2 separate regions of the Mus musculus genome follow, and region 1 is reported to be linked to region 2. The links are microRNA targets in miRTarBase. Many come from high-throughput screens and were not tested one by one. Region 2 holds a microRNA gene; the other region holds the end of a gene's coding sequence.
What was found. The annotated mature microRNA mmu-miR-10b-5p reads UACCCUGUAGAACCGAAUUUGUG and lies in region 2 at 2,920-2,942, opposite strand. An mRNA with a match to its seed (bases 2 to 7 or 8) in the 3' UTR can be bound and repressed. Matches are read on the target gene's strand: a 7mer-m8 pairs with bases 2 to 8, a 7mer-A1 pairs with bases 2 to 7 and ends in A, and an 8mer does both.

Region 1: the mRNA of Gdpgp1 is a reported target of mmu-miR-10b-5p. Seed matches in the 3' UTR shown: 7mer-A1 at 2,277-2,283, 7mer-m8 at 1,996-2,002 and 7mer-m8 at 1,110-1,116.

The regions. Positions count from the first base shown.
Region 1 is chr7:80,237,466-80,241,851 of GRCm38, reverse strand. It overlaps Gdpgp1 (GDP-D-glucose phosphorylase 1), which reads right to left. Exons shown (of 2, transcript NM_178752.3): 2 at 432-3,638. The coding sequence starts at 3,629. The coding sequence ends at 2,469. Among named protein-coding and RNA genes, the nearest start is that of Ttll13, 6.7 kb to the left of the region's middle.
Region 2 is chr2:74,723,086-74,729,015 of GRCm38, reverse strand. It overlaps Mir10b (microRNA 10b), which reads right to left and starts at 2,946; the gene lies at 2,879-2,946. All of the region lies in intron 1 of Hoxd3 (homeobox D3), which reads right to left. Hoxd4 (homeobox D4) reads right to left here. Exons shown (of 6, transcript NM_010469.2): 3 at 5,649-5,684; 4 at 3,038-3,553; 5 at 1,311-2,140; 6 at 1-754. The coding sequence starts at 1,737. The coding sequence ends at 429.

The DNA.
Region 1 (4,386 bases), not on the chromosome of region 2:
TCCTTCCTGAGCCTGGCTCAGCCAATCAATCTTAACTGATGAGCCATCTCCCCATCCGTTTGTTTGTCTTTTTTAAAGGGGGTAAGGCTTGTGACTAAAGCTGGCCTTGATTTTGTAGCAGTCTTCCATCCCAGCCTCCCAAATGCTAGGATATCTGTAATCAACAATGAGACTTTTTAAAACTTCCAGGATTTACAGAGACTTGGTTGTGGAAAGATCCCTGAGGGCCACCAACTGTTAAAGGCAGCATCACCACGGTAGGAAAGGCTGACTGGAGAGACTCCAGTATACACTGTACCAGGTCTGGCATCTCATTGCGTGTGCTGCAACCTCCACTCTGCCGTTAGCTGCCTGACCTAAGCAAGTGACTGGGTCAACAACCATTTCTTCCTCTGTTGAATGGAAGCAATAAAAGGACCAACACTTCTTTAAGAATATTAGCCAGCTGTGGTAGCCCATGCCTTTAATCTTAGCATGTAGGAGCCAGAGGCAGTTGGATCTCTGTGGGTTGGAGGCCAGTCAAAGCTACATAGTGAGACCTTGTCTCTCATAACAAGCAGAACACTTGCTACATTTCCTTGGTGCATGTGCGGGAAGTGACAGACCCATTTGCAGGAGTTGGTTCTCCTTGAACTGAGTGGATCCTAGGGATTAAACGCCTGTCACTGTGTTGAGGGCACACAGTGTTGATACCTCCTGAGCTATCTCTGTGGTCTATGACCAGCATTTTTAAAAGAATTTTTGAGGTAGTCTCAGTATATAGCCCAGACTGGCTTTGAACTCACTAGTCAACTGTTATTGGGGGCTTGAAGAAAGGATAGTTTGGTTTTTTTAAAATTTTTTTTAGAGAAGTTGACCACCTGGATGAAGCAGTTGCAAATACAAGGGGGGAGGGCAAAGTCAGCCAATGAACCAGCCATAGGCAAAGCTGGAGTCCCAGAGATTCAGGAAACTAAAACAGGGTTCTTTGATTTGAGGAGTTTGATGGTAGCTTGGGCTACAGAGCTTAGTGGCTCACATTCAGGAGGCAGAGACAGGCTGAATCTCTGAGTTCAAGATCAGTTTGGTGTACAGGGTGAGTTTCAGGACAGCCAGGGCTACACAGTGAGACCCTGTAAGAGTCAGTGGCGCACCAAGGGACAAGAGCAAAGGTAAGACAAGGTAGCTGGATGTATCTGTAAGCCATCAGAGCAGAGGCTGATGGTTCACACCAAAGGCGAAGTCCAGAGAGCAACCTGTGTAGCAAGACATCTAGTAGAAGCACTCTAGGGTCGCCATCAGAATGGTTGTTTGCTAGAAGTGTTTTGACCTTGAAGAAATCATTAAGAAAAGAGTGACTGTTTTCTACTATCTATAGAACTGTTTTTCTGAAGGAGTTTTACAACCTTTGCAAAGTCCTGGTCACTGGACAGTCCTGGCACACTGGGAATGTGCACTGTTGGGTACTGCAAACAGTATACAATAAGAACTGAAGCTGTGGGCAGTGATGTCTTCCTTCAGGAAACACATAAGACTAGATTCGGTGTGAGGAATTTTTTTTAACCAAAAAACCCACAACTTTTGTGTAACAATCAATATATGCTTTTGGGTGGCCATTTGATATTGAGTCCACAGAGCCTGGATCTCCCTGTAAGGCCATATTTCACCCTGGAGTGACCCTCTTTCTTAGATTGACCTACAAGTCTCAGAACACTGACAAACCAGGACTGTGAAATTCTCCCACTCTCCATTTTAAAATTTGTTTTTTTTTCTTAGCAGGGTGGTGGTGGTGCAGGCCTTTAATCCCAGCACTCAGGAGGCAGAGGCAGGCGGACCTGGTCTACAGAGTTCTAGTACAGGCAGAGAAATCCTGTCTTGAAAAACAAAAGAAGCCAGGCAGTGGTGGCGCACGCCTTTAATCCCAGCACTCGGGAGGCAGAGGCAGGCAGATTCCTGAGTTCGAGGTCAGCCTGGTCTACAGAGTGAGTTCCAGGACAGCCAGGACTACACAGAGAAACCCTGTCTCGAAAAACAAACAAAAAAGGAAAACAACAACAAAAAAACTATTTTTATATTTACTTTTTAAAAAATTTTGTTTTGAGATATATTTACGTGTGTGTGTGTGTGTGTGTGTGTGTGTGTGTGTGTGTGAGTGAATGTATCATGGTGCACATTTTAAAGTCAGAAGACAGCCTTTACCCTATGGGTTCTGGAGGTTGAACCCTGATCAACAGACTTAGCAGCAAGCACTCCTCCCCCTGAAATGGTCAGATCTGGCCCTTCATGGCAGGGCTTGTTACCCTGGGGCTTCTCAGGGAAGAGGCAGCAGAAACATTCATGAGAACACATTCTCTCAGTGCTCTCTCTGCAGTCCTTATGTGGGGAGGTGGGAAGAAGGTCATGACATGAAATGCACAAATGGACTGAATTCACATTGGCCTTTGGGAAAGGGCCTCGAATTAGTCAGCAAAGAAAACACTCCTGAAGAATCACAGCTCTTCCTGAGCCATCAGGGCTACCAGCGCTGCCCGTACCTCACCTGCCTGAGTTTCAGGCAGCAGACAATCCTGAATGAGGGCCACTGCAGCTGCCTCTGTCAAGCTGCTGAAGTCCTGTGATGTTTTGACAGGGAGGTGGCCAGCCAGCTCACAGAGGGCAACATTAAACGCCCCACTTTCCTTTATTCCAAAGCTGGACTTCCGGGCCCACAGAATGACTCGGATCCCACTGAGATCTGAGGTAGATGATGTCGGCCCGGGGGGAGCTCCCCGGGTCACAAATAAGTTATGTGCAATCTCACGGTCACTCAGGTAGTCAGTAGCTCGGCATACCCTGCTAATTAACACTTCCAAATCCGGCCCTGGCCCACTGGTGTAAAAGAGAAAGCCAGGAGCCGGCAGGGCCTGCAGCAGATGTATACAACCTTTGGGGTCTAGGGGTGTGCTTGGCGCTCCCTCCACAGGCAGTGGGTGGGCCAGGTAGTAGCAATGCAGGTGAAGATGGTTCACAGAGGCCAGGCCTCCCAGGCTGTTGAAGCCGACCCTGAAGCCTGGGTGCAAGCTCAGTAGGACAGCTTCTAGCCCCACCCGCAGCACTCCAGGCAGCAGCCGTTGGGGAAGCCCCTGAGCAGGTGCAGGCACCAGCAGCACATGACCCCACTCCAGGGGGCTGACATTGATCACCACAAGGACGTCGTCCTCTTGCTTTGGAGTGGCTGGGCCTTTAGGTTCCCTTTGCATCCGGAAAAGGACTTCTCCAGGTCGAATTTTATTGAAGTTAAACTGTTCCGGGTCAAACTCCTGCCTCACACTTCTGATATTCTGGGGGCGCCTCCTCTGTATCCCTCGCTCTATATTCAGCTGAGCTACAAACCCCACGGAACCGGGGAGGATTTGGGTCTGCAGATCTTCTAGGCGGTACCGAAACAGGCCCAGTTCCAGCCGCTGCCTCCACGCAGAGCGGAGGGCAGAGTCGAAACGGGATAGTGGTACTGTGTCCACGGCACTAGGTGAATCCCTGGGCCACTGAACTTCCTTGCCAACGAGATCCTCCTGGCCATAGACAAAGTCCGGGATGCCTTGTTTCTCCCAATCCTCTGGATCTGGAGGCAGCAGATAGGAAGTCTCCTGCAAATGATGTGGCACAGCCATGAAGGCTACCTGAAACAAGAATGAAAAACCCATAAATAGATGAGACCAGCTCATTTCCAAAGATTATTTTTGAATGAATTTTTTTTGGGGGGGCATGGTTTATCGAGACAGGGTTTCTCTGAGTAGCCCTGGCTGATCCTGGAACTCACTCTGTAGACTAGGCTGGCCTCGAACTCAGAAATCTGCCTGCCTCTGCCTCCCAAGTGTTGTTGAATGATCTTATTCTGATTATAAAAATGGTAGGGCCGGGTGTGGTGGCTCACACCTTTGATCCCAGCACTCGGGAGCTGGCCAAACATAAAGAGCTTGCCTCATATGATGAGAGCTGGTTCTACACAGGAGCTGCTTCCACAGTACGGCATCTGTACCTCTGTGGGAGTGCACAGGTTGGTTCCATGACTAGGATCTGTGGAGGATGGCAGAGAAACAGTGTCGGACCCAGCCACTTCAGCAGAGGCTCTAAGAGTGTGGCCCTCCGGGTCCTCCAAGCCCTGGAGGGGCTGAAAATGGTGGAAAAGGACCAAGATGGGGGCTATAAGCTAACACCTCAGGAACAAGAGATTGGGACAGGATCACTGGACAGGTGGCAGCTACCAACAAGAAGCATTAGAACAAAAGATGCTGGGTTAATAAATTGCCTCATTCACATTTTATACACACACACACACACACACACACACACACACACACACACACACACATATTTGAGCTGGATGTGGTGGCATAAGCCTTTAATCTCAGCATTCAGGAGGCAGAG
Region 2 (5,930 bases):
CTAGCACTGGCTGGCCTTCTGCCTCAACTCCCCCACAGTTACTAAGCCACACAGCTCCCTGAAGGGGGTGGTGTGGAGGAGACCATCCCGGTTCCCACTGGGGTAAAGCCTCCAACCTTCATTTGCAAATTCAATCCACCAGCAGAGATTTTCAGGAGTTTAATGACTCGCCAAGGGTTTATGTTCTCAGTAGCTCCTGCCATATGATAATCTACTTAAAGAAGCCCGCCCACCCTCCCACCCTTCCCCACTTTAGGGAGGGGGCTGCCCTCGGGCAGGAAGGTAACCTAGTCCGAGGGCGGCCTGCAGGTCCCAGGTCCACCCCCACAGTACCTTAGAGCCCAGTGAGGTGACAGCAGGCCCCGCCTGCACCCGCAGCTTCGCCTCAACCTGGAGTGCAAGAAGGGATAGGCCCAGGGTCCCCACTTCTATAAGGTCGTCAGGTCCGTATGGTGGTCCTTGGCCATTGGCTGCAAATGCTGGCCCGGGGCAGCTGAAGAGGAGCAGGAAGATGAGGAAGAAGACCTGCCCTTGGTGTTGGGCAGTTTGTGGTCTTTTTTCCACTTCATCCTCCGGTTCTGGAACCAGATCTTGATCTGGCGCTCAGACAGACACAGGGTGTGAGCGATTTCAATCCGACGGCGCCTGGTCAGATACCTGTTAAAATGAAATTCCTTTTCCAGTTCTAGGACTTGCTGTCTGGTGTAGGCCGTCCGGGAGCGCTTGGGCTCCCCGCCGGTGTAGTTGGGGTTCACTATGAGACAAAACATACAAGACAGCCAGGTCAGAGCCCGGCCACTAGTTAGGCCCCAGGCTTGCCTCTGCCCTCACTTCCTGGCGCGTCTCGCAGCCCTCGGGCCCCCCCTGTGCTCCAAGCTGGCCAGCTTCCTCCCTCCCGCCCTCTCCCTAAACATACACACACTCCCACCCAAGCCCTTCCATGCACACACTCCCCACGCTCACAGGTCCTCCTCAAAGGTTCTCCCTTGCCACTGGCCCACCAAGAGCTCGGTATCGCCAACATTTTGGAAAGGTCCTTGTTTTGCTCTGCGTTCCCTCTGCTGTGGAAATGGAGTCCTCCCCCCACCCCATCCCCATCCCCACCCCCTTTTGCGCCCACAGCCAAGCAGCCAGCCACATGGTCCCGGCCTGCTCCCTCAGCTATAAAAATTTATGGAGAGAGTAATTGCGGCGCCCAAGGAAGCTGCACAAGCCCCTACCCATTCGCAACCCCTGGGGTGGGGGGTGCAGGCCAAAAGATGCAAGGAGTGGTGCGGGAGGGCTGTGAGGTCGCTGCCCCCACTCCTTACCCGAATTCACGTGCACCTTCTTCATCCAAGGGTAGACCACAGCGGGCTGCTTGAGTGCTGTCCCGGGGGGCGGCTGCTTGGGGCCGGTGGGCTGGCTGCAGGCCCGAGCGCCAGGCAGGGGCGCAGGCGGGGGCGCTGGGCACCGCTCTCCCGGGGCACCGTAATGACTTCCCGGGCCGCTCGGCTCCTGTCCGTGACCCCTCGCGGGCAGCGCTGAGCCAGGCCCGGGCCCGCCGCCTCCGAAGGGTTGCTCGCCGAAGTCGGGCCGTGGGTAGAGCCCCGAGGGCTGGAAGTCGGCGCCCTGTGCACCGCTGCCGTAGTAGTCGGCTCCCTGCTCGCCTAGGTAGCCACCCTGCAAATATTCCTCGCACGGAGGAAACTTGGGGTCCACGTACTTAGAGTTCACCATATACGAACTCATGGCCATTAATTTCAGAAGGTAGAAAATACTAATTTTTCTCGTGTTGTCTTTTTTCTCCTTCCATTGGGCCCTCCTACTTGCTGTCAACTGAATAAAGTTGGGCGGCCATGTGACCAGGCCAGCCAATAGGAAGAAAGCATGTTTATCACCGGGTTGGTGAGCATCTCATAATTTTCACAAATTTAACTAAATAACATACGTGTAATCAAGTGACTTGCCATGCCACATTTGAGAGTCCCTGACAGATGCTAATAGAGTTCTAATTCTATCCCCGGGGTCCCAATTTCCGGCAGGTAATCTCGGCTTTTGTCTTCCACTGACTTTGCTAACCTCCCATGCCCTCCTTACTCACCATCGCCTGAAGCAGCCCCCAGAATGGACATAGTTCAAAGAAGAGTGAATTCTCCTACTGGGGTGCAAAATAAGGAAGAATGAGTGTGGGCAATGTGGCCTCCGAGTTGGGTAGAGTCCTAGGCAGGCAGGCAGGCTGCCCGGCCAGCTGGCAGGAGTCCTGGACTCTGACATACAAAGACCTGTCTTGGCTTTGTCTTCATCAGGGTCACCCAAAAGTTACCAGAATCTGGCGGACCTGAATTGAGTTAGGCAATGAGTAACCACTATGCTTTTCTGCCAATGCGCAGGCTGGGGTGTTTCTAGTTGAAGTTGGATCTTTCTGCAGGAGGCCCTCACAGTTCTGAGTCTGGTGGCTGAGGGGTTGGGTCATATTGGGATGGTGGGGAGGGGGACCTTAACCTTGCCTAAATGTACCCCAACGGTCTCCGATGGCCTATCTTTCAGTTTGTCTTCTTCCCACACAAGGGCAGGTGAGCCCCATTTGGGTACCTTTGTGTCTCATGCTCCTTCAGAGCAGGGCTTCTGCTGGAGCTTTCTGGCCTTTCACCTCACTCTCTAATACCCTAAAACCTGGCTCTCTGGCTTTACACTCAGACAACCACTTGAGCACCTACTGGAATATCTATAGGAGTTTCTCCAGGAAAAGGCTGTACAATTTCACCAGGCAAAGTCGATCATCCTGGAGTCTAAGGTAATGAAAAAGAAAGAGGTGGCTTGCCGGCTGGGCTGCCAGTACTCTCCGCGCCTCAGTCTCTGGCCATGTCGGAGATATATGAAGTTTTTGCATCGACCATATATTCCCCTAGAATCGAATCTGTGACTATGTGGGTACCACACAAATTCGGTTCTACAGGGTATATATAGACAACGTTACAACCTCGGGTCCTACCCAGAGCAGACATTCAGGCAGCTGCCAGACCTGATCTCTTCAGCACAGCCACCAGGAACTCACCAAGCCTGGCTTTCAGAGATGGTGCAGGTAGGCTCGGTGCATTTCTAAGTATTGCTGCTCGCTACAGCAATGAGTTCCCTCATCGGCTTGCCAGGATGGGGGCCACCAAGTAGCTGAGCAGCCAGGACCTTCTTCTTCTTAAAAAAAAAAAAAAGAAAAGAAAAGAAGGGGAGTTTTTTTTTCACCCCAGAGATGGCGGCTTAATTGCCCCTTCTCAGAACCCAAATCTCCCGCCCCCTTATCAAGTGGTATTTCCCAAAAAGAAGCAAAGGCCCTCAGCAGCAGAAAGGGAGTTTTGAAAAAGGCAAAAGGAATAGTCTTCACCAGAACCTAAGCCAAGTGAGTGGTCACAGCTAGTCCTCCTAGAATTCGAGCATTTACCTTTCTGGGCCCTCAGCCCCGCCGGACTTTCGGATCCCGCTGCTGCTGCTTCTGCTGCTGCTATGACTGCTGCTGCAGACCCGGAGGCAGGCGCTGTTTGCGGCCACCGAGCCTCCCTGGGCTGAGACTGTCGAGCTAATGGTGAAGGGCAGGGCGAGGGGTCATTCGAAATCATTTACAAACATATCACAAAGTTTCATTATTTTTGCTTTGCCGACAGCAGCACAGAAGAGTACAAAAGTTCGCGAATTTCGCCGCCCCAGCGCCTCCGCTGTCCTGGGCTTGCCCCTCAATTCAGGGCATCAAGAGCCCAGATGCACTCTGGGGCTGGGCTGATTTCAGGGGCAGAGGGATGCCCTGGCCTGGGCCGAGCTTATGGATGCCTGATAACAGATTGAAGATGTCCACATTTCTAAGTATTGTTTTGATCCCTTCCTATATAATTCGAAAAATCACTTTCAAGCCCCATGCCTTGATTTTGATGGGGTGGGGCAGGGAGACTCCCCTCATCATATCTGGCAAAATTAGGTGCTCACTTTGACCCTGTACTTTGCCCTTCCATGCCCTCCCACCATCTTTCACTTCCACTATTTTGCAGGGATTTCCCAGGTGTCAGTTCTAAAAAAAAAAAAGGGGGTTAAAATCCGTTTGTTTAAAGACTCTCCCCAGTTTCTCCTAATGCCAGCCCTTTCACCCATGGACACGTTGACAGGCCTTTCTGGGGACACTGGGCCTACCTCTGTTTTACCCAGACAAATTGGGGAAGTCCGATGGGTTGAGTGAGGACCAAGATGAGTACACACATTTTCATATTTGTTAGACATTGTGACCTGCATTTCACCTTATTGCTCGACTTGTTCAGACAGGTCAAAGCCAACAAGTTATTGATGAACAAAAGCGTTAAATATTCACCTCCCTCTCAACTGCCCATACAAATGCTTTTGATCTCTCCGGCTTTTTGTGCTGTGGGCAGCTACAAGGCGCCAGCAAGCAAGCAGCCTCAGCAGAGATGAGCCCTCACAGCCAAGGGTGCCAAGGAAGAGGGCAGGGGCAAGGCCAGAGAAAGTCTGGGGAGTCCAGATTTTTCACCATGGAGCCTGGTTCACTGTGTGCAGGCCTGGTTCATAGAAGGAACTACAAGCTGTAAAGGTCTTCACTTCCCTGTTAGCTCAGCCTCACCAGGGGCCCAGCAAAGAAACCTGGCCCTGAGCCCAGTCTCAGCTTCTCTGACCAGGAAGGGAAGACATCTCACAAGAGAGGGAGGATGCCTGGTCCCTGTGGTCCTTACCAATCTGCTACTGTTCCATTAAAATTAAACTACCTGTGGTTTGCAGTGAGTGGCAAGCCTCTACTATTTCCTTGACTCTCCTTCTAGTGCCAACCCTTCTAATGACACCCAGAAGATGTCACCAGCATTCTCAGCTTCAAACTTCAGAGCCAAAGAACTGGAGTCCCTGCCTCTGATCCCACCCAATTCCACTGGACTCTGGAGTAGAGTAGAAATTCTTCAACTGCAGCTAAGGAGAAACGGAGGGAAAGAGAAAGTACTCTTTTTGTTCACCGGGTATCCCAAACTGGGACCCACACCAGTGAAGCTAGGACCCAGAAAGGGACAGGAGAGGAATGTCTACATAAGCTCAGAAGTTGTAGCCCTTCCTGGAAACAGGCCAATCCAACACACCCAAGACCATCAAGGGTTATATGTTTGTTTTTGTCTGTAATAAATCAAATTTTAAATTAAAACCTATATACAGCAAGAGAAGGCTGAGATAGACTGGGCAGAGAGAATAATGGCTGGACAGCAGAGAGGGACCCCCGTTGCCTTGGTGTTGATTGGGTCAATTCTAGCAGTTGTGGATGCTGGCCCGCCCGTAGTTCAGTTCGTTGATAGGGTGGGCTGCTAATTAGCTGCAAGTCTGCTGCACCTGTGCGAGCCAGAGAAGCCTGGCAAAGGCCTGTATGGTCCAGAGAGGTCCGGGAAGACAAGGGCGGTCCCCTGCGGTGCGTTTACTTGAGCAGGTGACTGTGAACTAGGTCCCAGAAATACTTCCTAAAGGGTCAGCCTAGAGCTTCCATCCCTCCACGAAGCGAGTCCGTTTTGGCCTGGGGAGGCAGCGCCACTCCGCTACTCCTTAACCCTCCCATCACCGCTGGCGCGGACCTTCCGCCCACCTCCTCCCAGTCTTAGCACTACCCTTTCGTTCCTCGGAAGAAAAGGGAAGGTACTTACAGTGGTTCTCCCTCGTTCTCCCTGACGCTCCAAAACCTGTTGCAATGAAAGTGGGGTCTCTCAAATTTCACAGGACAATAAAGCATCCATAGGCGACATGCAGAACGTGACAAGGCCCAGACATTCCACCAATACCTAGAACTCCTTGCTTCTGGTGACCGCCTTCGGGTACTGCACAAAGTTTTCCTCTGATAGCATCCTCAAAGGCAGAGCTAAGGGCTATGGGAGTCTGTCCTGGTCACCTACCCTACTTCACGCACCCTTGGGCAAAACCCAACCAGT